Callithrix jacchus: one gene and its partners. The protein of the gene in region 4 purifies or fractionates together with the protein of the main gene of each other region. This does not show direct contact. Links are inferred from orthologs where the notes say so. Each region holds a gene or a part of one and is shown on either strand. Other genes may lie near its edges. The genes, in order: EPS15, EDC4, DOCK5, CRK, ASAP1, PEAK1 and SOS1.

The links.
Region 1: the proteins of CRK (region 4) and EPS15 purify together in Homo sapiens (affinity purification with mass spectrometry; 3 studies listed by BioGRID and IntAct, with this or other methods). This does not show direct contact. The link is inferred for Callithrix jacchus from reciprocal best matches to the Homo sapiens genes CRK and EPS15.
Region 2: the proteins of CRK (region 4) and EDC4 purify together in Homo sapiens (affinity purification with mass spectrometry; 3 studies listed by BioGRID and IntAct, with this or other methods). This does not show direct contact. The link is inferred for Callithrix jacchus from reciprocal best matches to the Homo sapiens genes CRK and EDC4.
Region 3: the proteins of CRK (region 4) and DOCK5 purify together in Homo sapiens (affinity purification with mass spectrometry; 3 studies listed by BioGRID and IntAct, with this or other methods). This does not show direct contact. The link is inferred for Callithrix jacchus from reciprocal best matches to the Homo sapiens genes CRK and DOCK5.
Region 5: the proteins of CRK (region 4) and ASAP1 purify together in Homo sapiens (affinity purification with mass spectrometry; 3 studies listed by BioGRID and IntAct, with this or other methods). This does not show direct contact. The link is inferred for Callithrix jacchus from reciprocal best matches to the Homo sapiens genes CRK and ASAP1.
Region 6: the proteins of CRK (region 4) and PEAK1 purify together in Homo sapiens (affinity purification with mass spectrometry; 4 studies listed by BioGRID and IntAct, with this or other methods). This does not show direct contact. The link is inferred for Callithrix jacchus from reciprocal best matches to the Homo sapiens genes CRK and PEAK1.
Region 7: the proteins of CRK (region 4) and SOS1 purify together in Homo sapiens (affinity purification with mass spectrometry; 6 studies listed by BioGRID and IntAct, with this or other methods). This does not show direct contact. The link is inferred for Callithrix jacchus from reciprocal best matches to the Homo sapiens genes CRK and SOS1.

Annotation. Positions count from the first base shown.
Region 1 is NC_133508.1:88,416,372-88,420,642, forward strand, and holds the start of EPS15 (epidermal growth factor receptor substrate 15), read right to left. Parts: upstream 2,801-4,271; 5' UTR 2,686-2,800; coding exon 2,653-2,685; intron 1-2,652. UniProt on the Homo sapiens protein: Involved in cell growth regulation. May be involved in the regulation of mitogenic signals and control of cell proliferation. Involved in the internalization of ligand-inducible receptors of the receptor tyrosine kinase (RTK) type, in particular EGFR.
Region 2 is NC_133521.1:25,404,472-25,408,693, forward strand, and holds the start of EDC4 (enhancer of mRNA-decapping protein 4), read left to right. Parts: upstream 1-1,422; 5' UTR 1,423-1,614; coding exon 1,615-1,696; intron 1,697-4,222. UniProt on the Homo sapiens protein: In the process of mRNA degradation, seems to play a role in mRNA decapping. Component of a complex containing DCP2 and DCP1A which functions in decapping of ARE-containing mRNAs. Promotes complex formation between DCP1A and DCP2.
Region 3 is NC_133514.1:16,102,364-16,105,369, reverse strand, and holds part of DOCK5 (dedicator of cytokinesis protein 5), read left to right. Parts: intron 1-1,016; coding exon 1,017-1,120; intron 1,121-1,668; coding exon 1,669-1,773; 3' UTR 1,774-3,006. UniProt on the Homo sapiens protein: Guanine nucleotide exchange factor (GEF) for Rho and Rac. GEF proteins activate small GTPases by exchanging bound GDP for free GTP. Along with DOCK1, mediates CRK/CRKL regulation of epithelial and endothelial cell spreading and migration on type IV collagen.
Region 4 is NC_133506.1:66,815,796-66,819,295, forward strand, and holds part of CRK (adapter molecule crk), read left to right. Parts: intron 1-766; coding exon of another isoform or gene 767-839; intron 840-1,654; coding exon 1,655-1,792; 3' UTR 1,793-3,500. UniProt on the Homo sapiens protein: Involved in cell branching and adhesion mediated by BCAR1-CRK-RAPGEF1 signaling and activation of RAP1.
Region 5 is NC_133517.1:67,190,895-67,194,394, reverse strand, and holds part of ASAP1 (arf-GAP with SH3 domain, ANK repeat and PH domain-containing protein 1), read right to left. Parts: intron 1,660-3,500; coding exon 1,473-1,659; intron 1,236-1,472; coding exon 1,150-1,235; intron 1-1,149. UniProt on the Homo sapiens protein: Possesses phosphatidylinositol 4,5-bisphosphate-dependent GTPase-activating protein activity for ARF1 (ADP ribosylation factor 1) and ARF5 and a lesser activity towards ARF6.
Region 6 is NC_133509.1:23,586,960-23,591,019, forward strand, and holds the start of PEAK1 (inactive tyrosine-protein kinase PEAK1), read left to right. Parts: upstream 1-1,260; 5' UTR 1,261-1,700; intron 1,701-2,245; exon of another isoform or gene 2,246-2,380; intron 2,381-2,459; exon of another isoform or gene 2,460-4,060. UniProt on the Homo sapiens protein: Probable catalytically inactive kinase. Scaffolding protein that regulates the cytoskeleton to control cell spreading and migration by modulating focal adhesion dynamics. Acts as a scaffold for mediating EGFR signaling.
Region 7 is NC_133515.1:75,898,062-75,902,202, forward strand, and holds the start of SOS1 (son of sevenless homolog 1), read left to right. Parts: upstream 1-1,341; 5' UTR 1,342-1,777; coding exon 1,778-1,864; intron 1,865-4,141.

The DNA of each region.
Region 1 (4,271 bases), on a different chromosome or scaffold from region 4:
GTGATCCACCCATCTTGGCCTTCCAAAGTCCTGGGGATTACAGGCATGACCCACCAAGCCTAGCCACTAAAATACTTTTCACATTTTTCCCCCCAAACTGTTTTGCTTAATTGGTAAAGGCAAGAAATTATAAACAAGATAATCCCAGTACAGTGTCTAGCACATTATAGGTCCTTTTAAAATATTTGCTAAATGAAAACCATCATATGAACAGAGACAGAAACTAACTTCAGCATGTTAATCTCCATAACTGTCACAGAATCCTTTAGAGCTTTCAGTCATTCCTATAACAGTTATTAATTGCTTTCTTCCAGATAGATACTATGGAAGAAAGATGGATTAAAAGATGTCCCTGGCCTGAATGATCTCTCACTTGAGTATGCCTCTGTCTAAACATGTGTGCTGGGAGGATGGGAGGGATAGGGAAAACAGAGGATGACAAACGGATCAATAATGAATCTGAAACCAGGCTGCATTGTTATCTTAGTGAATTGGGCTCAAGCAGTTTTTAAAAATTAGAATTAAATTTAAAAATCACAAATTGCAAAGTTTTGAAATAAGGAGGCACGTTAGGGTATACCAACAACTGGAAATGTTTTCTTCCTGTGCCTTCATAATCCCTCTTACTACCTCTTCATGTTTGAAAATCAGAATATTCTGAATTTACTTATTTATCAATAAAAATTGGCCACCAATGTATATTCTTTCATATGTGAGGCACTGAAGGATAATAGCTACTACTGATTGAGTACTTACTGTGTCCGTACTTACTGTGTCCCCATTAATACCTATATAACCCAAGAACATATGTAAATTTTTTAAATGACCATAAAACTCACAGAGCCTGAAGTAATTCTCCAGAGATGAATGATAGTAAATAGAAGCTAAAAACATGGTATTACCCAGGGCGATAATAAAGTATGCACACAACTGAGAAGCAATTTTACGCAAGTCTTCAAGAGCACAAAATCTTCAAGAAGGGAAAACTCCTGCCAGAACTGGCCAACAGAGCCAGAAAACAACAGCCCACCAACAGGGATCTCGTTTAATGCAAGTCACTAACTAGACTCACAGAAAGTGAATACCTGAAAAAGTCAGTGCTGTCGTTGCTCAAATTTGAGTTTTGGGAGGACCCTTCCAAAGATACATAACCAAGACTAAACCACCACATTCCATGTTAAAGGGTTCTTCCCCGCTGTTATCTGCTTGTCAGAACAGGACAAACACCACTACCAAATAAACTGGGAAACAGACTTCCCTTATGACACTTAGAATTCCTGCAAACACGATTCGTTATTTTACATGAAGTATGTACGTGACTCCCGGTTTCTGAGAAGACATTTTTCTCTCTCTCTCTATCCTATAGTGCCAGGCAAAGCACCCCGAAGCCTCTTGATCCTAAACACAGAAAACTCTAGTGCCCAAATGTTTGCCCTATCCCAGCGCTAAAGCCTTAGAAGCACCAACGAATCTAGGCCAAGGAGAGTACAAGATGGCAGGGAGATACCACAAAGCAGGCAAGGAGGACTGGGTGCCACCAACCCCCCCCCACACACACACACACATCGGGAAGCACGCGCCACCAGCTCTGCAGAGAGCCGTCTGAGAAGGAGACGTGGGGGAAGTTTGGGTCAGAGGAGCAGGAAGGGATTGGCAGGTGTCTGTCACCTTATCATCCCGGACACCATGTTTACATTGTAATTGGCTTCTCTGCAGAGAGGGAGGGACCAGGTTCCCAGTGTGAGTAATGTTTAGAGGTTTTCTGAGAAGCACGAGGACTGGACTCTGACAGGAAGCAACGAGGCAAGAGGGAAGCTCGAGGACAAGTTTTGCTGAGGATTCCCTCAAGACAAGTGCTCCCCGGGCGGCCGTTCCTGACACCAAGACTGGCGGAGCCACCACACCCGTTAAGGGCATCCACCTGCACAGCAATCAAGCGGGCGCCTCTGGAGGGGAAGTGGAAGTGGAAGCAGACGTGGGTGGGAAAAGGCTGCATAGGGGGTCTGACCCAGAAGGAAACCTGATCAGGAGTGGGAGAGGCTGAACTGAGGAAGGGGCTGGCAGAGGGGGTAGATGGGTAGGATGAGACTTCTTTAGAGGCGAGGCTAGTAACTACATTAAACTGCTGGGAAGGAAGGGCTTTCGTCGGACTCCGGGAGAAAGGCAGATCTGGAGAGGAAAACCTGACTTGGGGGGCTGCGCGTCCGGCTCTGGAAGGCAACTACAACTGGGGGCGGCGCGCTGCCGGCCCAGCGAGCGAGCCTCGTGCGGCCCGGGGGTGCGGCCGGCCCGCGCGAGCTCAACGAGAGCTCACCTGGGGTGCGTGCGGCCCGAAGGGAAAAAACTTCCTGGGTGAGTGAAAGCTGCCCCGCGCGAGCCGGGTCACAGTCCGCTCGGTGGCGGAGCAAAGGGCGGCCGGAGTGGGCGACGGAGGCAGCGGGGGGCGGGGCAGGGGGCGCCCAACGACTCGGGGCGAGGTCGCGGCGGCCGCGCTGGGACTCCAGCTCGGGAGGGCGCCCTCCCGCAGTCGCACCCGCTCTCGCTCACACACGCCGGTCGCCAGGCCCGCTTAGCCTGGGTTGGCTAAGCTGAGGGCGGTGGGGGAGGGGGATACCGGCCGGCCAAGCCCGGCGGACAGGCGGGCGGCGTTACCTGTGTCAGAGAGAGCTGGGCCGCCGCAGCCATGGTGTTTCCATCATGCAAGGGAGGGGAAGGAAGGACGGGCAGACGAGGGCTCGGGGCGGGGAGGAGAGGAGGCGGGGGAAGCGGCTGTAGGCGAGGCCCAGGCGGGCGGGCGGGCGTCTCCCCTAACTTCCACAACTTCCCTCCTCACGCCCGCCCCGCCCCGCCTGGCCCCGCCCGCCTGCCCCCGCCCGCCTGCCGGCCCGCCGGCCCGCCCGCGCGAGCAGGCCGCGGCGCCGCCCAAACCTTGGCGCCGGAGTAACAGCCGCCGGACCAGAGCCTGCCCCCGGGTCCGCCTGGGAAAACCCGGCGCGGACCTTAAAGTAAAGCGGACGGGCTGCGGAGGCGACTCCAGATTGTCCTGTGAATTTCACCTACCTACGCTGAGCTCCTGCTTCTGAAAAATAGGGGAAATTTTAACCAGAGTCCAAGCTGCTTACGAGGGCTAAATGAGATAATGATAGAAAATAATAATGGCACTTTATATATGCCAGGCTCTGTACTAGACTCTTATATTTTTGAATTGCATTCATGAAGGAACTGAAACAAGTGCCTTACTAAGGTCATACAGCTAATTATATAGCTGGATTAGAATCCTAGTATTAGATTTAACTATCTGCTAGTATATTAGAAAAGAAGACATTAAGTCATTCCCTCCCACAGCCAAAATCCATTTGGAAAGGTATTTGCCTGGTGCCTGTCACACTTAGATTGTTTAACAAGGGAACGGTAGTGCCTGTAGCACTCTTACATCGTCCACTTGGCAGACTCCTCCTTTCTCAGGACATAATTAGTATCACCTACTTTGCAAAGTATCTTCTCTCCTTCTCATGTCAGAGTTACTTACACGGTCTCCTTTATAACCTTTCTTCTCTACTTTGTGAAGTCACCACCCTAATGACAGTTTACACCTATCTACCCCTCTAAATTAAGAGCTCCTCGATGGCAAGGTCTATTTTCAATATATTTCTATATTGTCAGACCCTGGAATTACAGTGCGTGCTTAATAAAGGCCTTCCTTCCTGCCTATGTTAAACATAACACATCCTACACCTTCTGATGCTGCCAACCTTCAGTTGGAATACCCAGTTACTTGAAATTCTCATCTTCAAAGGCTCAACATATATACCACCTACTTCAAGAAGCCTTCTAGGAACTCCACACCCCACCTCTAAGTTGTTCTGATATGACCTTTTTTATGCTCTGCCTTATTTGTAAGCGTTAGTTGAGGGCTTGTCTGCACCTCACTGCACTGTAAAATCCTTGAGGACAAGGGGCTGATTCACTACTATATCTACCTCACAGTTCAAACAGAGGCATCAATAAATGTATTTACCCAAATTGGTCTTAATTTCTCAGTCACGGTGGCTTCCCATGACAACAAACTGCAACTCTATCAGGCCCACACCCATTACCATTACCATAGCAGTCCCCATGGTAGGAGAGACAACTGAACAAGACCCAGGATGGAGTTAGCCCCACCTAAGTTTTTAGACTATTGCCATCACAGGCAAATCATTCTAAAAATTTCTGCAGGAACTCCTAATTCTACTCAGACCCCTTTTGGCAAATGCCAGCTAACAAGAGCA
Region 2 (4,222 bases), on a different chromosome or scaffold from region 4:
CTGATACCTCCTGTGACTTCTGCTCTGGGTAGGTTCAGGGCTCTAGCAGCAGGAGAGATGATCCTGAATCCTGTTGAAGCTGGAGAGGCCCTCCAGGTTGAGGTCTCAGCAATATAAAGGGAGAGGCCTGCTATATCCCCAGGAGGATCAGGATCATATCCAGGTTGCCTCACATACACCAAGCCAGGCAGAGGCAGCTCAGCTCCTATCCCACCTGCTTTGGATATCATTACACAAAGGCCAGTACCCAGCAGAGCCAGCCTCCACTGCCCACAGAGCCAGGCCCAGTTGGGTTGTAGTATAGGTCAGGAGCTGTGGAAGGAGGCAATCTGAGTGTGAGAGACTCATGCTTTAGGGATCCTCAACACTCAGACCTCTGCAGGACATTGCAGGCCTCTCTCACTTCCTTCCTCAGCATAGAGACTTCATGCTATCTTCAAATCCCAGGAAGTCTTAGCTATTAGGGCAGTTCTGTTTCTCTGTTTTGGGGACAAAGGCCTTGCCCAGTATGAACCTGGCCCCTCAGCCCACAGACCTCTGGATGGTATAAACCGAGTGGCAATGTAGCAACCATAGGCTAGAACCAAACCCAGGATTTGGGTCAGTGCCGTTAGGGGTTTTAGGATTGGTAAGAATACCACAGCTAAATCTGACCTGTAAAAGGATACCCTTCCCCTCTTCCACTATGGGTGGAGGCTAAGGACCTCCTCAAATCCCAAAGTTTGCCTGGTGACACTGGGCACAGGGTTGGATGGTGCTCAGGAGATTTCAGGGAATGATCTCTAGGCTGGTGTGTATTTGGGGAAGTAGGGGTGGGGAAGAGGTAGGTACTTGCTGCCTCAAACCACCCTGTATAAAATCTGCAATACAGCTTCTTCCATGTACCTGTGCCTGAACTGTCTGCAATAAAGAGGAATTTGTAAACTGTGGTTTCATTCTTCCAACCGGAGGGTGCCAGGTGGGACAAGAGGGTGCTGGGGGACAGTAGGGAACAATGATTATTGTGGTGGGACCATCTCCCCTACTCTTGCAATTCCTGGGTTTTATGGCCTCGACGGTCGCCTCGGGCCTTGAGTTATTACGACCCATTCCCCAAGGGAACCTGAGGCTCCTGCCAATTCAGCTTATTCTGGGAGTCAGGGACCTTAGCACGGGCGGCTGAGTTGACCCCATCCTAGGACCATCAGAGTCCACGCTCTGAGAGTGGGCAGGGACCGGGCGGCTTCTGAGTAGAGTAGGGCTCTGGGTGGCCCAATGCGTGGACGCTTACCTCAGTCCTGTGGAACTTCCCTGACCCCTCGGGTTCAGGGGCGGGGCCGCAGATGGGGACGGACTGCGGGAGGGGTTTAGGCGTCCGCCCCCAGCCCGGAACCTTTCTTCTCTGGCCCTGGCAGATTCCGGGAGCCTCGGCTTGTGGGGGCCGGAAGTGGAGGCGGTTGGTGGGGGTGGCGGTGCTGAGGGACGCTGCGCGGGCGGCGGTTTGAGAACTGAGAGTGGACTGAGTGTAGCGACCCGTGTCCGGCTGTCTCGCCCTGTCGCGGCTGGGCGAGGGTGGGTGGTGCGCGGCGGCGGCGGAACGAACGCGGTGCGGGCGGGGCGCCCGCCGCTGGGCCCATGGCCTCCTGCGCGAGCATCGACATCGAGGACGCCACGCAGCACCTGCGGGATATCCTCAAGCTGGACCGGCCCGCGGGCGGTGAGCGAGGGTTGCGGGGGTGGGCCCCAGACGAGCTGACAAAAGGGCGGCGAGCCTCTGAACCGCCCTCGGAGCCCACAGCTCCTTTAGGACCAGCTCTGTATCCTCTCAGCGGGTAAGGGTGGACGGAGTTCGGAGTTTCTTCACTGCCCCCTTGGAAGGGCGCAGACCCTTGGGTGTGACCCCTCCCTATCCTTTCCTCAAGCTGTTCTGCCTCGTCCTTCAGCATGTCAGTTGAAGGTGAGGCCCCTTTTCTGAATCAGCTGGGCCCCTCTGGTTTCCTGGCCCCGAGGTCTCTAGTGTTCCTGGGACCGGCCTGGCGTCTCTTCGCTTTCGCGATGGTTCAGAGGCCTTGTCTGGGCTCCGTATATGGAATTCTGGGCCTAGGCTTAATCGCGGTGCTGAAGAGCCGCCAGTCCCCCTCCATAACTTGCCCTTCCCTCTGGAATAGACTCCAGGCCTCCCGTTCTGAAACTGATTTCCAGGAGGAAGGTGTCCAGCCTCAGTTCCATGTTCTTTCTGGGATGAAGGCAAATCACAGACCGCAACACCCTGACTGAATTAGGCTACAAATATCTGCAAGCCCTAATTGGTTTACCTTCATTCGTGTTTCGCTTTAGCTCTTAGTGATACCTAAGAACTAGGTATCCCTGTGTCTAGCTCCCAAAGATCCCCCAAGACACAGAGAGCTAACAGGGTTGTAATATACTGTTGTCATTGAAAGAAAGGAGTGTCTTGATACTGTGATGGGCATGGGAAGGGTGGAGGCTGATGAATGCAGTGTGCAGGTCTGAGAGAGGAGACTGGGCTAGGTCTTGTAATGTGAACAAGGGCTTGGATGTCAGGAAAGGCACTCAAGGCACCTATGTAGAAGCCACCTATTACAAAGAGGAAATAGCACGTATGCAGACACCAGTTTACTGATAGGTTTGGGAATCTCTGAAGTGGCTGGTGATGGTGGTGTGGGTGTGCAGTGGAGAATTGGTGTTTCCTCAGATCTTGTTCTTATACCTGCTTGGAGGCCCAGACTGGCTGCTTCTGGAAGGCACTGGTGCTCACTAAGGGTGGATTCAACTAATGTCCACTCAGAAAATCCGTCTGCTGCCTGAGACCACTGGGCCCTTTGCCCCAGGCCTGGAATGTGTGCCTTCTTTACTCATGAGTAGGTGTGGACCTCTCCTGCTGCTCAGCAGTTGCAGACTAGACTCCACAGAGATTTGGTAGAGCCTGGCATGGCCACACATGTACAGCCTGGGCCTTGTTTTTGGTTGTCCTCCTGGTAGCCTTCATGAAAGGGAGAGTGGTCAGCTTGTCCCTGAGCAGCTAAAGTGGCTCTGATCCGAATGAAGTGGCCTAGACACTTTCCTTATAACTCCTTTGTTTATTGACTGGCACTTGATTCCCTTGTTTTCCAAGGAGCTCTTTCTTGTCTCCTCTCACTGGGGGACCAGGTCCGAATGCAGACTGTTGAGGGCCAGGTGCAGTGCCTCACGCCTATAATCCCAGCACTTTGGGAGGCTGAGGTGGGTGGGTTGCTTGAGCCCAGGGGTTCAAGACTAGCCTGGCCAACATGGTAAAACCTTGTTTCTACTACAAATATAAAAATTACTTGAGCTGTAATCCCACCTACTTGGGAGGCTGATACAGGAGAATCGCTTGAATCCAGGAGGTGGAGGTTACAGTGAGCCAAGATCGCGCCACTGCATTCCAGCCTGGGTGACAAAGCAAGACTCAGTTGGAAAAAAAAAACAAAAGAACTAAAAGACTGGAAACTTTCTGTGTTCCTGAATGTGGAGCCCTAGGCTCTTGCCACCTAGGGGGGCGGTTTGGAAATGGTGTCTAAGCCTATGAGCCTGTTTGAAACCCAGCCAGTTGCAAAGAACTGAAATGCTGCCTTTTCTGATGCCACACTCTGCCCTATAGTTTCTCTCCTTTTGGTCTAGCTCCTTTATGTCCCTACCTCCTGAGTTTTCTTACTAAAACTAGCTTCTCCTGAGCCATTTCTGTATGGGGCAGCCCCTCACATGCCTTAGGAGTCCATCTTCTCTCCAGACCCTGACACTACCTTGGTCTAGGCCTTGATCTTTCTCACCTAGATTCTCAACCATTCTGCATGCTACCCTAGAATAATCATCCCACTGGCCAGAGCTGACCACATCACCTTTCCCTTTGAAACTCTTTGTGGTTCTCATGGCCCACAGGCAAAGTCTAAGTGCCACAGCATCATACCTGAGGCCTCTGCAGCTTTGTTTTCCCTCCATCCTTGCTGTGTTTGTGTGTTCTGGCCACACTGACTGCTCTGTGAAGTCTTTCCTGACCCTTGCTGTGCGCTCACTCAGAGTCCACAGTTATTCTGTACTGACCCGGGCCTAAGTATGAACTGGCCTCAAAGGGTCTTTGATGGCTTGTACCCCTCCCCCAGGTAGGATAGCCTCGTGCTCATCCTTGGTCCCGCATACATCAGTGTTTATGGAATGAGAGTTGAATACAGGGCCCCCCCTCCTCACGGACATGCTTTGCTCAGTT
Region 3 (3,006 bases), on a different chromosome or scaffold from region 4:
AAGTGCTGGGATTACAGGCTTGAGCCACTGCGCCCAGCCCTAAACTTTTCTAGATAAACCGGGTGCAGTGGCTCATGCCTGTAATCGCAGCACGTTGGGAGGCTGTGGTGGGTAGATCACAAAGTCAGGAGTTTGAGACCAGCCTTGCCAACATGGAGGGACCTCATCTCTACTAAAAAAATATAAAGATTAGCCAGGTGTGGTGGTGTGCACCTGTGATCCCAGCTACTCAGGAGGCTGAGGCAGGAGAATTGCTTGAAGCCGGGAGGCAGAGGCTGTGATGAGCGGAGATTGCACCACTGCACTCCAGGCTGGGCGACAGAGCAAGACTCGGTCTCAAAAAAAAAACAAACCACTTTTCTGGAGAGTGATCCAAAGGGTGTTAGTGTCCATTTTATAATTGTGAAAGTATAAATGAGACAGATCTGCTCTAGGACTAGACAGATAACAAGTAACTTACAAGCTAACCATTAGGTTAGGCAGACCTGGACAGGGACTAGAAATAGACCCATTCCATCTACTGCTTACAGTCTGGCTTGGGGAACCAGCAGTGCACAACACTTGAGAAGAATTGCAAGGTACCCGTAGTCCAGAGACATGGTGGAGGGATGGGTTTATCAGAGCCAGATGGGAGACAGTTGTCAACCAGGAGTTAATCAATTACAGTTTCCTGGAGGAAGGGAATATTTTCCTAAGCACTTGGGCTCTATCAGAGAACAGAATAATACCATACGTTCCAGAAAATGTTCTTATCTTTATCTTAATTGCAAAACCCTGAAGAAAAAATAAAGTGTTTGCTTCAGAACATCTTGTGAAGCTCTTAAAACTTTCTGGCGAGAGCATTACCTGTGTAATGTTGGGTGAGAAGTCTTCATTCTATTCACAGAAACCACAGAATGTGGCTTTCACAAGTTGGTTGACCGGGTTGGCTTAGGTGTTAAGGTGCCAGCAGCATTTCTGTGAGTTTCCTTGCTCAGTGCCTCTCTCTGCCCGTGTGCCCTTTGTGTCATTTCTAGGTTCCCCATCGTTGCAGATAGATGGACTTGCAGCCATTCCCATCCCACCGCCACCTCCCCCCAAAAGCAAGCCCTATGAGGGCAGCCAGAGGAACTCCACCGAGGTAGGGAAACCACAGCTGGCAACTATGGCCAGGGAGTGCAGCTCCTGGCAGGCAGCATCGAGTTTTCTAGGCTTTGTAGTGGGCAGGTTTGCTCATAGACCTGTCACTGCAGTCGATTCTTGGCTCATTCCTGAAACCACAAGAGATAGAGAAGTTTTCAGTGGGAAGGACAGACATTCAAGCAGATGATAAAGGTAGAGCAGGTGTTCTCTGTACCTCATCCTGGGTACCTGTGAAATAAGTTGTGAGTTCTAGTTCACTTTTTTTGGGGGGGGTGGGAGTGGGGGCAGGGTCTGGCTCTGTCGCCCAGGCTGGAGTGCAATTGTGTGTGTGTGTGTGTGTGTGTGTGTGTGTGTGTGTGTGTGTCTGATTAACTCACAGGAAACAAGAAGGACAAATGCGTGTAGTTTTCCATTTCACCTTGCAAAGCTTAGGTAGATAAACTCAGATCAATGAGAAGCTAAAGCAGAATGTGGGAAATGGGAGGAAAAGGCAGAGTTGGGAAGAAAACTAAAACCTGCTTCTAATTTGTGTGTCTGCTCCTACAGCTCGCTCCCCCACTGCCTGTCCGAAGAGAAGCCAAAGCACCACCTCCTCCACCGCCAAAGGCTCGGAAATCCGGCATCCCTACTTCCGAGCCTGCATCCCAGTAAGGATTTTGCCCTCTCTGCAATACAGAGTACCTTAGACAGCTGCTGCCTGAGAACTGGCCTCCAGCCAGTGTCCTCATTCCACGGGGCTCCCTGCTGCGTCTCCTGATCTGGGATGACGTTTACCAGCTTAAAACCAGTTATGTTCTTCCAAAAGCTTCTCTTTGATAGATGCTTGAGGCCATGTCACCTCCCTTCCAGTCCACATGGAATTCCAGAACAGCCACATCCTCTGAATTTTTCGAAGAAGAGATCGCATTCACCATTGTTAAATGTCAGCCTGTACCGCAGAGACATGGTGGTCTGCACAAGCCTGGACGAGTTCTTCCACACTGATGGTGGAGCAACGCCTGTAATCTACTCCTTGGAAGGAATTTTTGCTTTGCTTATGAAAAGGTGTGCTTGAGACTTAGGTATTTTTCTTGTGCAAACACATCCATCCCATCCCATATTGCATCTTGGAAGATGTGGACACCAAATACACTTTGGTAGCTGAAATAATCGTATCTTTCTGATGTCGACTGTGTCTCCTTTGAGGAAAAGAACACACGTTTTTAAAGGAGATCGGGTGCTTTCAGGTACATGTGGCTGTCATTATTAAAAGAGCATGGACTCAAATGTGAGCCCTGAGTTCCTGCGTCCTCCCAGCTTCCATCTTCTCGTGGCATGGGACAGCTGCCGTCTCCCTCTCCCGCCACGCTCCTGACTAATGGCCTTCTACGCACTGCAGCCACTCCTTCCCTATGGACTTCTTTGAAGCTCTTCCTTTTGCACACACGGTTTTTTTTTTTTGTCCTGTTACCTCCTCTGAGCGCAAATCACTGGCTACAAGGGACTTAGCAATCGGATTCAGCAGCTTCTTTTCCAGACCCCATTTGGATGACTCAGCAGGCCCATCTGCTCCCTGATTTTACCCTGGAGAATACAGTGCAATATCTCCCTTCCAGTATTTATTCCTCTTGATTGTGGAATTAATTTGATTACTTGCTAATGGTACTAATCGTATTCCTTTCAGAAGAAAAAATGGAGTGATTTAGGTGACCAAATATTACATACATAAATAGCCGCATGAAGTTTTAGATGTTTGGAGCTGGAAGCCTCAAAAATCAACCAACAAGCCCCCTTACTTAGTAGGTAAGGAAATTGAGGCTACACACAGAAAATTGTACTACAGTTTCTAATAACCCAGCTTGCTGCATTAGGCTATACCCAGGAAACTTCTAGAAGACAACTTGT
Region 4 (3,500 bases):
CAACAAGAACAAAATTTCATCTCAAAAAAAAAAAAACAACAACCAAAAAAAACTCTTTTGAGATGGAGTTTCGCTCTTGTTACCTGGGCTGGAGTGCAATGGCGCGATCTCGGCTCACCGCAACCTCCGCCTCCTGGGTTCAGGCAATTCTCCTGCCTCAGCCTCCTGAGTAGCTGGGATTACAGGCACGCGCCACTATGCCCAGCAAATTTTTTGTAATTTTTAGTAGAGACAGGGTTTCACCATGTTGACCAGGATGGTCTGGATCTCTTGACCTCGTGATCCATCCGCCTCGGCCTCCCAAAGTGCTGGGATTACAGGCTTGAGCCACCGCGCCCAGCCTTCAAAAAAAAACTCTTTAGTCCAGTGACATCTGAGACTTTATCTCACCGTTTAGTATTTAGTATCTCACATGGTGAATTCATTCATCAGGTTGACCTCTTAAGTTTCGTAGTATATCGTAGATTGTTAGAACTTCATATTTCATTTTGCAACAAGAGACATTTTATAAATACGTGACAAAACAATAGGGATTTTTTGTTTGTTTTGTTTTTTTTGAGGCAGGGTCTGGCTCTGTTGTCCAGGCTGGAGTGCAGTGACGCAATCTCGGCTCACTGCAACCTCTGCCTCCTGGGCTCAAGCAATTCTCTCACATCAGCCCCCCAAGTAGCTGGGACTATAGGCAGCCACCACCACACCCAGTATATTTTTTAAAATTTATTTTTAAGCTAGCCATTTGTAAGGATAATTTTTGTATTTTTTGTAGAGACGGGTTTCACCATGTTGCTTGGGCTGGTCTCAAACTTCTGAGCTGAGGGAATCCATCCACCTGTGTCAAGGTCAGCAAGTGCTGGGATTGCAGTCATGAGCCACTGCGCCCAACCATAGTTGTTTTTTTATCCCCTCATTGGGTAATGCTTGGGTAGCAAGGGGCATTGAGGGAGCCTCAAGGTCTGTCTGAGGGTGGGATTGCTGGCAGGGCGGGCAGTAGCTTGTCAAATAGAGCTGGCAGAATTAGGTCGGGGTCTCTCAGGAAGCTAATTGGATTTGGAGTTTTGGCCTCTACCTGCCCATACGGGAAAAGGCTTGCTTTGGTCAGGAGTGATAGGAACACAGGATTTTCTAGGACCACATAACATATATGCTTGCCGTGATCGCTGATGCTATGCAAGCAGCAACAGGCCAGGATGTGTGTGTGCTAGTGGGTGGCGGGATTGTGTTGCTACCACATGCCAAAGAGGGAAAGGCTGCTTGTCCTGGGACAGGGCCTGCAGGCAGGTGGAATGCTGAGGGCAGTGAGTACAAAGAAAGGGAACACTAGCGAGCTCACTGACACCAGGATTGCTCATGTAGAGATGCTTGGGATTTCCATTCATTATCATTCTTTTTTAATCAAAAAGTATCATTATCTGGGATCCTCTTTTACTTTCTGTATTCTCTGTGTTTTTCTGCACTGCTAAAAACACTTCTTCCTTCTGCCTGCATTAACCACAAGTAATCAGTCTGGTGGCTGGGGCTGGGGAGGCAGCAAATGGCCATTTCTGTGACATCCCTAGAGTGATCACATGGGCAGGGTATGCCTGAGCAGAGAATGGAGTTTGTCCGCTGCATTCCTAACCAGAAATAAAGTGCTGTCCTTATTCTCCTCCTGCAGGTCGGTGAGCTGGTAAAGGTTACGAAGATTAATGTGAGTGGTCAGTGGGAAGGGGAGTGCAATGGCAAACGAGGTCACTTCCCTTTCACACATGTTCGTCTGCTGGATCAACAGAATCCCGATGAGGACTTCAGCTGAGTAGAGCTCAACAGTTTTGCTGACACATGGGAACAATCTTTTTTTTTCTAACTGCCATCTATACAATTTTCTTACAGATGTCAAAAGCAGTCTTGTTTATATAAGCATTCTGTTACCTGTGATCTTTTTTAGACTGAACAACTCCATTCCTAGTCTTACTTAGCACATTCAGGGTACGAACTGGAGGGCTGTGTGTTAGCTTCTGAATTGGCGATTTGAGGAGGTAGTGGCGGTGCCTGTGTGTATCAGGAGGGAGAGGTGTCTTGCCTCCTTTCAGGCAGTGCAGATCACCTGTGGAAAACCGACGGACAGGAAAGAGTTACACACTGCTTACCCTGATTTATTCAGTGGTTCTGTTTTCATTCTGGAACCATACTGTCGAATGGCAACAGACTGTTCCCTTCTACTCCCACGAAGTAATCATGCACCGTGTGAATAGTATGGAGCAGGACTGCTTTCATTTATGGAACGTGACCATTGTATGACTCATTGTGACACTGCAGACCCTAAGAATTCTAAGAACACTACTAGAAGCATTTGTCTTCCTTCTTAGTCAGTGCTTCATACTATTTCTTGAGATTCTTTTAGCCCTTGTCATTCTTTTCCCCCAAACCTGTAAGTAGGTTAATTCCTAAGGTGAGTTTGTATTTTCATTCCAGGTGACAAGCAGGATGTACCGAGTACTTTATTCAGTGCATAGCTTTAAGGCAGTGTTGGATTCACTAAGTGGACAGCCAGTCTCCCAGCTCTCTGCCTTTCCCAAAAGGGTCGTGGTAGGTCACCCTTCTACAGCAGCTCAACAGAGTCTTAACTAATGGGATCCAACAGGGCCGTTTCTGCCGAGTACCAGTATCCTATCAGGAGACTCTTGGAATTCTTAGGTTCTGCTTGGAGTGGAAGGACCAATCACCTCTAATAGTCCGTGGAAGGTTTTGAGGCCAAATTCTGCCCTCTGTATTCTGTGCAACTTGTATGAAAGTCAAGTTAGTATTAAATGAGTTTGGGGTAGGGTTAGTGCTTTGAAAAGTGTTAGAAGCAATCGTGAGTTACTTACGTATCCCTCACGTCTTATGGGCAGAGTGATGCTATTGAAGTACATTACATTATAAACTGCCTTCATTTCTGGTTCTTTCTGTTCATGTTCAGGTTTTGTTTACAAACCCATTTAAGTATGGAATGATTTATATGGGGTCAGGTGCTCCAAAAAATAGACAGATGAGACCAAAAATGATCTAGGCAATTTAGACCACGGCATGAAACTTCCAAGTGAGTTCTCAGTCCGTAAAGGCACTTACTGGTCTATGGTATGGTATGACAATAGAAACACCTTTGGACCTCATTTTGGAAGGAGAATCTACCTTTCTAATTGTTCTGCATAGGTGAATATGATAAATTAGCATTCTTTGAACATTCAACAAATCATGGTATCCCAGGGACTGGCGCATTGCCTGACACACAGTCAGCATGCACGTGCCTGAATGAATGAGGAGACTGAGAAGCTGGTTTCGTGGCACAGGATCCCCACATGGCCACAAGCAGACTGATGCGTTGACACTAATTTAATATATTTTTACCTCACACTAAGGTAATGCTTGATAAAGACATTAGCACAGTGCTCTGCACACAGTGGGTGCTCAGTAATGTTGAGTGAACAAATCCCTGATACTAGATGTCATCCATCTGACTGCTTTGTTAACTTTCCAGTTAG
Region 5 (3,500 bases), on a different chromosome or scaffold from region 4:
ATTACAGAGAAAATTATGTTTCTAACCTAGATTTATAAGCAATATAGTGGTAACAACTAGCATTTACTGAGAGTGCCAGGAACTATGGGACAGACATTGTTTCTTAATGGTACATGTATTAGTTCATTGAATCTTTACAACCATCTGATGGGGTAAGTACTAATAATAGCCTCTTTTACAGATAAAAAAACCTAAAGCACAGAGAGGCTGAAGTGCTTGCTTTCAAGATTTTCAGGATGGGTATGGTGAAGCAGGGATCTGAACACAGGTATTCTGTCTCTGGAGCCAATGCTTTGACCCGCTATGCTATGTTGTCTCTGAAGAAGAAACCTGGACTTTTATATAATTTGGCTTGTGTCTATGCACCATTCTTCCTATACGGGTTCCGATCCCCTAATATTTTGATCATCTTCTTTGGATGAGCTCTAGTCCCTCCTCACAAATCTGTTGCTTACAGAACAGCTAAAGAATAAAGAAGGAATCCAGCAAGTCCAAACTTCCTGTTTCACTATTATACTTCCATTAGTATGTCCCAAACTTGAATGAGCTACTGATCCAGCCACACACACTGCTGCTGTTTCATATGAAATTTATGAACAATGAAAACTCAAAAATCTGGTTAACCTGTGCTGTTAAGTCTTCTCTCTTTTAACCTCTCCTAATGGTTGGGAAATGTGTCCAGTCTGTGCAGAAGAGTTTTGAATACAAACAGAATTTTACATTTATAAAGGCCAAGGGGTGGCAAATTATAGCCTGCAGGCCATATCTAGTTCACTATCTGTTTTTATAAATAAAGTAATAAAGTTTTATTGGAATTGAACCATACTCGCTTGTTTACACATTGTCTATGGCTGCTTTCACACTAACATGGCAGAACTGAATAGCTCTGACAGAGACACTTCATGCCTGCAAAGCCAATACATATATATTAACCTTAAAGATCAGATTTTGTTTGGAGAAAACAAAAACCCCACAACCCAAAGGATGGGATTTTACATTTCGAGACATCTCCCAGTAAAAAATATTTTTTATATCTAGCATGATACAGAAAAAGCTTGCCAATTCCTGATCGAGGCCACTGATAGGACTGGTTTGTGTTAATTTATAAGGCATATTCAGGTAATTCAATAGAGAAAACAAAAACCATACCAGTTTTGTACAAGGAAGTCAACCAAATGGAGCGATGTCTGGTCTGCAGTTCGGACGGCAAGGTGAAGGGCTGTCTCCCCAAGCTCCTAAAAAGGGAAGAAAAAGTATAAATAAGTGGATCATATGCTCTGCCTAGGGAAGTGTCATATACATTAGTCGAAGTAATTATAAGGAGCACACATTTTCACTCTCAAAATCTCTTGATTTAGACATGGTCACCCAATGTATAAGAGTCTCATTGTATAGTATAATTTTAAAATAAGTCACCTTTTAAACCGATTTTCCACATTACTCTTTATCCTATGATTTTAGTGAGGACTTACCTGCCCAGGTTCTAGCAGTGGTTCCATTAGCTCTACCCCCTCTGCATAGACTTGAATTAGTGCAAGTAAATCCCTGGATTTGATGGCCTCAAGCAATTCATTTAGTTTAGCTGATGAAGTTGAACAGGTCTTCCTTGAAAACCTATGATCTACATACTTTGCAGTGATATATTCTTTTCGCACAGTCCTAAAACACAAGATAAAATAAAGAATTTTTATTTTCCAAGTGCTAAGAAAGGTTTATGTTTTTCTGACAAACATTTCTCTTTGTGAAGTTATTTTAATTAAGATATGCTTCTTTTCACCATTCAAACAAAACAGGTTTTAGACCAAATTATTCCAATAGAGACAGAATAAAGAAAATACTATGTATTTAACTAATATATACAGGTAATAAATATAGTTACGAAGTAAACTATATTTATTACCTGTATATATTAGTTAAATACATAAATCACAGCAAATTTCTTTTTCATCTTGACCAACAGCATGAGAAATCAAGTGTAAATACTTCAAACTCTGATATATATGAGAAAATTAAAAAATTTAAGAAATTAAACACATTATAAAAGATCAATTAACAGTTTTCAGAGCTTCATGGAAAGGATTTTTGTCATCTGATGTAACTTCCTATTTATTTTATGAAATTTTTAAAGGGTGGGGTCTCGCTATGTTGCCCAGACTGGTCTTGAACTCCTAAGGTTAAGCAATTCTCCTGCCTTGGTCTCCCAAAGTGCCGGGATTACAGCCGTGAGCCAAAATCTGGCCATAACTCTCCATTTTATAGGTGAAGAAACTGAGGCTCAGAAAGGTTGTCACTGAAGCAACTACCCCAGGCCAAGCATTGAGCTCCAAAGGGGTGAAGGTTAGCTATCTTTCCCGCAGAAGTTTTGGTGTGGGAGCACGACACCACATGGGTAACATGCCCAAACCCTGAAGGGGTGAGGTACTTTTTCCTTCTCTTGAGAAATCACCTTTCTCACTTTAGTTCAAGTATTTCTGGTAGGACTCAGCTTACCTCTCAGCGACAGGGGTGAGTATATAACCTAAGTGGCCCAATGGTTGCCCTGGTCACCTCTGGGCAAAGACTAAAATGAAAGTCAGCTATGAGGAAAGGAGAGGTAAGAGTCAGGGAAAGAGAGCTAGGGTACATGTGACGCTGTCTGATAGCCTGGATCCAGCTGTATCTGAATCCATCCCTTTAATTTCCCAGTTACATGAGTTTAAAAAAGACAGTAAATGGACTTCAGATTACATCCTAGTTCTACAACATCCCAGCTGTGTGACCATGGGAAACTGCTTAATCTTCATGAGCTTTAGGTTTTTTTTAAAAAATCTGAAAATGTAGATAAGACATTGGTATATTTTGAATTAAAGGATGTAGTTTCTAAGAAGTGTTTTCTACCTTCTGAGAGGGCTCTAACACAAAGGATATAAACTTTCTTGCTCAAAAATATGCATTCCACCTGTGGAAGCTGTTGCTATTTCCAACACCTCACAGTCAGGCAACACAGTTTAACATTGTGCCAATACCTTTTTCTTTCATTCTGGGTTGGTAGTAAAAAGAGTTGAGCTGGTTGATGATGGCACATAGCCTCTGGTCTTTTCTCAACTCTATGCAGTTGAGAAAAGACCAACTGATTTTATTAAGTAACCAAGTGCTCATGCTCATGGGTGTCCTTTATGCTTAGGTCAAAGTCCCTTTAGGATAGCAAGAGCCTGATGAATTAGAAGACTTCCAGTAACCAAAAGAATGGCCCAAGCCTGGCTTCTGAGGCCTCTGCTGCATGTGTCTTACATAAGGTGTGAATGGCAGTTATTGTGTTGATGAATGGAGCAACAGACTTAAAAATTAAATGGCTCTTGATTCAAGTCTGAGACCAAATGCTAACTATGTGACCTTGGGTAAATCAAGTTCTTGCTGTGCCTCAGTTTCCTCACCTGTAAAACATTAGTAATCATAGCTGCCTGGTAATCATAGGAAGCAAATTATGGGTAAGGAAAGAAGAATGATGCATGCCTTAGGAG
Region 6 (4,060 bases), on a different chromosome or scaffold from region 4:
ATCCCGTCTCTACTAAAAATACAAAAAGTTAGCTGGGCATGGTTGCGCGTGCCTGTAATCCCAGCTACTCAGGAGGCTGAGGCGGGAGAATTGCCTGAACCCAGGAGGCGGAGGTTGCGGTGAGCCGAGATTGCGCCATTGCACTCCAGCCTGGGTAACGAGCGAAACTCTGTCTCAAAATAATAATAATAATAATAATAATAATAATAACAACAAATACAACTTTCACAAGCATTACGTGTAAACTACATATAAGAATGTTTAGGCCGCGGTAACTCAGACCTGTAATCCCAGCACTTTGGGAGGTTGAGGCGGGCAGATCACCTGAGGTCAGAAGTTCAAGACCAGCCTGGCCAACGTGGTTAAATGCCGTCTCTACTAAAAATACAAAAAAATTAGCAGCGAGTGGTGGTGGGAGGCTGGGCAGGAAAAATACTTGAATCCGGGAGGCGGGGGTTGCGGTGAGCTGGCACTCCAACCTGGGTAACAAGAGGAAAACTGTCTCAAAAAAAAAAAAAAAAAAGAAAAGAAAAGAAAAAAGAAAGAAAGAATTTTTTAAGGCCGAGGAAGGTGTTCTCAGGCACCGGGCAAATCAACAGGCTACAGCCCCAAATCAGCAGGCCCAAGAGTATAAGATGTCAATTTTATCAGTTAAGGTAACATCAAATTTGAGTACTACAGTGTGATACTTTCATTCTGCTAATGAAAATGCCCCAGATTTTATGTAAAATATTCAGTCCCCTAAATAATAAGTTATCTCCTTAAAAAAAAAGAGGAGCTAGATTTCCTGTTGCATGTCAAGGCAGAGGGCACCACACTTCACCCAGCCAAGGCTGGACTTGAGTACGGTGTAAAATTGGCAATTCATCAGTCACACAACAAGATAGGTCATCTTGCAGAGGTAAGTAGAGAATTCTAACCGGGGCTTTTGAATTCTTTGAAGAAAGCACTGAGACAGTTTTGCTCAGGAGGAAATGTTTCGTCTTCCACGTAGAAACAAACTCATAAATTCTGACTGCAGGTTGGTGCTCACCACAACGTGGAATAACCTAACTTTTCACATAAAACACAACCCCAAAGCTGCAAGATACGGTCTCCGCGAATGGCACCAAGCACCGCCTTTTCAAGCCCTCACCAGCACTGAAAGTGGGTTGGACACCCCCAAACCATTACCACCCCCCCACAGGAAGTGAGGGTGTCCCCCTCCCCCAGGACGGCCCTCCTCCCCTCCCCCAACCGGAAGTTGAGGCGCCCCCATTCAGCCGGCCTTCAACCAAGACAAACTAATACCACCATCAAAAGAGGGGTGCTCGTCAAGGGGTGAAGGGCATCTCCACTGGGGCCACCCCCAAGCTCGCCTTGCTTACTGACCTGCTGACGACAGGGGCAGGAAGGGGCCTGGGGCCTAAAGAAAGTCCCTCGCACAGAGGACAATTCCCTCAGCCCCTCTCAATCGCCTTCACTCCACGCACTCGTCATCTCACAGCTGGACAAAAATTCTTCCGCAGCACTTTATTTTGGTGTCCTTTCCTTCTCTTTACCTAATCGTTTAACCACCTTCTCACAGGTAACTCCTCTTGCCGCATAACATTTACAAGTGCTCCGGTGAGGAGAAAAATGAAATATTATCCACGGTACCTTCAGAAAAATGGAGGGATTATTTTGCCCCAATGCGGCGAAGGACTACGTGGTTACGCAAGGTGAGCCTTATTTTCGTGGAGGTTTCTGGGAGATGTAGTTTTTTTTTAATTGCGAAGGCCCGCAGAAAGTAGAGGGACTGAAATTGGTCATGACTATATACTAGCGTCTTCGAAAACATATTCTGTATTCGATTACGGCTGACCTAGCGGGCTCTAACGCCCATATGGGCCCAGACTTCCCTGCTCTTTTTCTCTGACGCTTAATCGAACCCAAATTTTCCCTCACGCGGGCTCAAGGTCTCGGCAGCCCGCCCCTTGCCTTGGCCCCGCCCTCCGCAGCCAATCAGGCACCCTTTAGGTGTCGTCCTCGGAGGCTGGACCAGAGAGGAGGGGCCTAGCGGCGACTCCTCCCGCTGGGCTGAGGGAGGCCTGGGAGACGGCAGGGGTCCGTGCGCGCGCGCGTGCTCACGGCTCTAGCAGCGCGGCGGGCGAGCGAGCGAGGGCGCGCGCTGAGGGGTGGCGCGCGGGGCCGGGAGGAGGCGGGCAGGCTGGTGGGCTGGGCGGGCGGCGAGCGGCCGGGAGCGCGCGGTGGACTCGGCCGCGGCGAGTAGTTAGTTAGTTGTTGTTAGTGTCAGTTGCTCGGCGGCGGCGGCGGCGGCGGCGGCGGCGGCCGTGGTTACCAGGAAGGGGACGGGACCGACGGCGATGGTGGTCCCCGCGGCGGCGTGTGCGCCCCTCAGGTAACAGCGGCCCGGCTGCCCCAGTACCCTGGGTTCCGTTCTCCTCACGCGCCGGCGGTGGGACCAGGGTTGCCGCGGGGTGAGGGCGCTGACCCGGGGGAATCTGGGCGGGGTGGCGCGGCGCGGGGTCTGGGTGGCGCCGCCGCCGGGGCTCTGGCTGCCGGTGCGTCCCGCCTGGCGCGGGCTCCCGCTCCCCGGCCACCCCCGCGCCCTGCCGATGCCGCGCGCCCCCCGCCACCCCTGCCCCCTCCCTCGGCGGCGGCCCCGGGAGCGCGGCGTCCCCCAGAGGAAGGAAAGTTGGGACCCGCCGCGAGGGACGCCCCCGGGCGCGGCTGGGAGGCTGCGGGGGAAAGTGAAGCCTGGAGGAGCTGGACGCGGGGAGGCCGGGGCAGGAAGGGCTGCTCTGGTTCCTGCTGGGTCCGCACGGTCAGCCAGCCCCACACCCGCGAGCATCGGCTCAGCCTCGCCGGCAGCGTCGGGACGGACCTGGGTGGCTCCCTGCCTGCTCCCTTCGCGCTGCGGCTGGGGAGCCTGCGAATGTGTGGGCTGGCGGGGTCGTTTGGGGGTTGTGAGCGGTTCGGCTGCTCGGTTTGTTTCCTCTCTGCCCTTTGACTCATCTTGCAACTTTTCTTTCCTCCCTCGATGGGGACTTGCCGTCTGAACCGCGTCTGCCCCCTCCCCCTTCGTCGCATGCACCATCCGTCTGGGAGCTTGATTTCGTTTTTTCCTCCTTTGGCTACGTTAAAGATTGCTGAGAGCACCGGGAGGGACCCTCCTCCCCCGCCTGCCTCCGGCCTGTTAAATGTTACTTTTTGCGATTCGTTGTTTTTTAAAGATCCAAGTTCAGGAATTTGAGAGCTGTGGAATGGAGTTATTGGAAGGCTGGCGTTGAGCGGGTAGTGATGAGTTAGAGGAAAACTATGATTTCATCTTTATTGGCCTTGCTATAGAAGAGCTAATTTATATATATATTTGTCTCTATTGAATGTGGTAAGATCGTACGTTGAATTAAATACTTAGAGACTTACATAAAAGACTATTTTTAGGTCATTGGATGATGTACGTGAGCAGCTTTTCACCTGAACTGGGATTGCCTTCAGAATTCTGTTTTGGGGCCTACCTACTGCTTTTTGTTCAGCGACAGCGCCTTTTTTTCCCCTGATAAATGAAGTGATGTAGTGATGTGTGTAGTCAGAGAACCCATATTGCTCTCTGCAGTGTGGAAGTGAAAAACGCGGATTATCCACAGGGGTGAAACTTTCCATGAGCAATCTTGGCTACTCACTTCACGATGGCTTCTCCTGTAATCTCAGAGCATTTCTAGACAGCTCAATTCACTGACTACCCTAATTACTTTCCGACTTGCCTGGCACTTCTCTTTGGTGACTTGTTTAGTAAACTATAATGGCAGATATGGTACATTTACTTGGCTTCAAAGATGAGGGTTGTAGCCTCAGTCCAGAGATGAACAGTTAACAATGGAAGTAGAATTAATAGCATTGCTAGTGAGTTTTGGATATGACCAACTCACAAACTATGTGAAAAAACAAACATACCCTTTTCATTGCTGTCAGAGAGAGAAAGGGAAATATTTTATCATGTCTTTATTTTGGAGTCTCTAACATGACTATATTATGTGGGAAAAAACGTCAAATTATTTTCTTTAAGGCTTTTTAATGT
Region 7 (4,141 bases), on a different chromosome or scaffold from region 4:
ACCTCAGGTGATACACCTACCCTGTCCTCCCAAAGTGCTGGCATTATAAGGCATGAACCACCTTGCCCACTGGCCTGTATATTTTTAAAGGAAATAACTGAAGACTTTCTTTTTTTTTTTTCTTTTTCAGATTTTCACAGAGGTCCTGTAAAGATTATGAACCACTGAACATTTCTCATCTACGTGATCCTGGCTGTTGTTCTTAGGAATAGCAGGACACAATGTCAGCTTCAACCCAAGCTAGTTCCTCTAAACTGCATTCTTATCGGTGAAATGAAAATAATAGGGTTGCTATGGGGATTAAATCAGATGATACTCCAGAAGTGATCATTAATGATAAACCATGAGGTGTCTGCCACAAAGTGCCACTATTATAAACAGTGGCCTGGAGGGACAGTTTATATATACCGGTCCTTTAGCATTCCACTTTCACTGAGTGCCTGTTCTGTGTGGAGGACCTGGTGAAAAAAATCTGCCTTCCAGTTTATTATGTAGTTGAAAGAACCACAAAAGATACAAAACACTATAGACCAAATGCCCTGAGAGAGGAATAAGTGCAGTGTTCTGGGAGCTTTAGAAGAGGTCTCAGTATCCATTGGAGGAAAGTGCTTATTGGAATTCATATTTGGAGAGGGTTGAAAAGATGAACAAATGCAATCTAACACACACAGAAAATCAATACTACATGTACACATTTTATTCTTGATGACGTGGAAAGACCAGTTAAAAACACTGCGATCACTTCTATTGCCCAGCAGATACTTAGCAGTAGGTTTCGAGACAGAGCACCTGTATATTTTGTCCGGTCTGTTTACTATACATTGCGTGCTGGGCAGTCCTTATCTTTGTGTTCGGGAACAAAGTACACACGCCCCTTTCCGAAACGAAAGGCCCAGGGACTCAGAGAGGGGTAGGAGCCCTCACGGCTAGACCACACAGTGGGGGCTTCTTTACCGTAGTTCTTACCCCCTCTGCAGGCCCCACTTTGCCAGGGTTCGATTTCTCGGGCCCTTTCGCCCCTCCTCAGGAGTCCCCAGGAGCGCAACCACAGCCCGGTCAGGCGCCCTGCCTCCCTTCCCCACTCCCCCCGCCCCCAGCTTCCCTCCTCCTTCACCGGGAGCCGGAAAACCCGGAGCGAACCAGCCCAGCCCGGCAGCGCATGCTCAGTAGCGCGCAGGTTCAGTTTGCTAGTAGGAAGCTCCAGCGCTACACCGGCGGCGGCAGCGGCGGCACCTCAGGGCAGCCAGATTCCCCAACAACGACCTCGGGTCCTTCCCCTTCCCCGCGAAACCCCCTCCCCCAGCTCCGCCCCACCCGAGGGCTCTTGCGTTTCGGAGTCTCAACTGCGCGGAGCGGGCGCCGCGGCCAGAGCGTCCCTCCACACGTCCTCCCCCAGCCGCCAGCTCTGCCGCGGGGCCAGGCCGGACCCGGGAGTGCAGCCCCGGCAGGCGGCGGCGGTGTAGCGGGCCGCCCGGGGCGGCGCCGGCGGGCCAGGGAGGGGCGGGGGGGCCTGGCCCCGGGGCGGTGGTGCGGGATGCCGCCGCCTCCGGGTCGCATTCGTTCTCCACGGCTAGTACCCGTGTCGGGTGGGTGGCTGGGCGTGGGCCTCGCCCTTCAGCCCCCTCGCCAGGGCTAGCCCGGCTGCGCGGCGCCCGGAGGGGGCCGGGCCGTCCGGTGGGGCCGCGGCCCTATTCCGCGCAGCGAGCTCGCCCTCTCGCGGCTCCCCGGCCGGGCCGCCGCCGCCCCTCTCCCCGCCCAGAGGCGCCCTGGGGGCACCATGCAGGCGCAGCAGCTGCCCTACGAGTTTTTCAGCGAAGAGAACGCGCCCAAGTGGCGAGGACTGCTGGTGCCTGCCCTGAAAAAGGTGAGGAGCACGCCGGACCCCGCTTCCCGGCCGCAGCCCCCCAGCGCGGGCGCCGAGCAGGCGCAGGGGAAGGGCTGGGGAGGCGGGGCGCGCGCGCAGGGCCGTCTTTCTTCCCTGTCTCGCCGCGTCTCCGAAAGGACGGCGCACACGGGGAGGTCCCCCACACGGCTGGCTCTCAGTGTTGACATCCACCCGTAGTGTGGGAAGGCCGCGGGGAGCCGCGGGCAGTTGCTCCGAATAATCCAACCCCGAGAGGTGAATGCTTTGCCCTTTGATTCCGAGACAACGGTTGGAGAAGCCTCAGTTTTCAGTGGAGGTCAAAGCAGGCCACTTTTCCGCCTTCTCGGTCTTAGCCCGGAGCTGTTGTCAGCCTCATGTTTTAGGTGTCCAGTATGCTCGTTTTAGTGGCTTGAGAATGCCCTGGCCGTAACGCTTGCTCTAAGGAATTGCGAGCTCGCCTGCCAGCAGGAGCGTGGCCTGCTCCGCTCGTCCTCAGTAATCACTCTCTGTTCTCCTGATCTCCCCTGCTCCTCGGATTAACAGGGGCTGGTGCACATGCTACCAATTTCAGGGGTTTTGTTTTGTTTTTGCGGCATTCGAGATTCTTGGTGCTGTCATTTGGCTTGTTAAGAATTTTTAGTCTTTGTATGTTTAAGTTTGCTGTGTTTTTAAATGTTTTAGTATAATTAGGAAATGTTACATTTTTAAAGCTTCTAGAGCAACAGTGTACTAGACTATTTTTGTTTCCTTTTCTTCATTTACCTTTTCTACAAAGATTGCTTTACTCATCTAAGAGTGTTTCTAAATCTGTTTCTTGCTGCTCGAAGACTCTTTCATGTTAATTAGTTAACATATAGTTTTGCTTCTACTAAGAATGGAGATTATGTTGTACCTTTTATGCTAAGCATTAAAAGGTGTCTGATAGTGCTTAAAGGCCAGTAACTTTTACTTTCCCCTTTGCCCTGTTCTCTTGTCCCTCTTGCTATCTTACAGTGGAAACTATTTGGTTTGTTAGGAGAATTTGCTTATGTATTTCTGACTTAAGTTACTGACATTTTCCCCTTCAGGTGTCTGACTAGTCACGAACACCTATGTGATTTTTCTTTTTTTTTTTTTTAAAGAAAACCAAAAAGATGCCATATATCCTTTTCTTTTCTTTTTTAAATAAGATGGGGTTTCACCATGATGGCCAGGCTGGTCTTGAACTTCTGACCTCAGGTGATCCACCCACCTCGGCCTCCCAAAGTGCTAGGATTACAGGCGTGAGCCACTGCACCCAGCCGCCATATGTCTTATGTACTTTAATCCTTAGAAATCCCGTCAGGTTCTCACTACTTACTTTTGCTTTACCTGCAAGTTTGACTTCTTAGCGTGTAATGGAAGGGGTTTAGGAGGTCTCTGTGCTGCCAGAAGCTGATGTCCAGGTAGGGTAAGGGAAGACAGGGAAATTGTTTAAAAACCTGTAAAGGAACTCATAAAGCATTGCCAAATAGGGGCCATTTTGCTTAGAGGCAAAAACAGCTCCTATCCCGGGGGAATCACCAAGCTATCAGCTTAGGATCTTTTGAAGTAGTGGAAGAATACTGTAGGAGTTGACAGACCTTGTTTAATTCTGCCATGCTGGTGGCCCTTGCTGAAATCTGTCCCTAGAAGCATTTTGTTTGGCTGGCACAGTGTTGTTTTATTTTTAAATGTAATTAGTTGCTGGCATTTGAAAATGGGAGATATTACATAAAATCTGAATTTTCAGCTTTTCTTGAAGAATAGGAAGTTCTTGCTAGTTAGGGCCTGTATTCCAGCAAGGCACTAAACTGCTGGAGGTGAGTAAATGGTTGTCCTCTTTAGACAAGGCATGTATCTCCACCTTACCACAACCCCCACTTGTCCTCTTTGTTTATTTACGTAAACCAACTTTTGAATTTAAGGTAGAGATACTTTTGCAGTAAGTGATAGAAGAAGGTGGAAGTATACATAATCTAGCTAATGTGTAAGGTTCTTCCAATTCTTAAATAGCCAATAACTATGATTCTAAGACAAGATTGAAAATACAGTGTATTTCATATCTGGATATGTTGTCCGTAGCTCCAAACCTACATTTTTACCTGCCTGCTGGACATTTCATGTGGATATCTCCATATCTTGATTTCTTTTGATTCACTATTGAATTATTTATAGATGCATCCAACTTGTGCTCTCTTACTCTTACCTGAGGCTCTTTGGACATGCTAGTCCCCTCACCTTTCTTTGCCTGATCCAACACTACTCATCCTTCTAGAC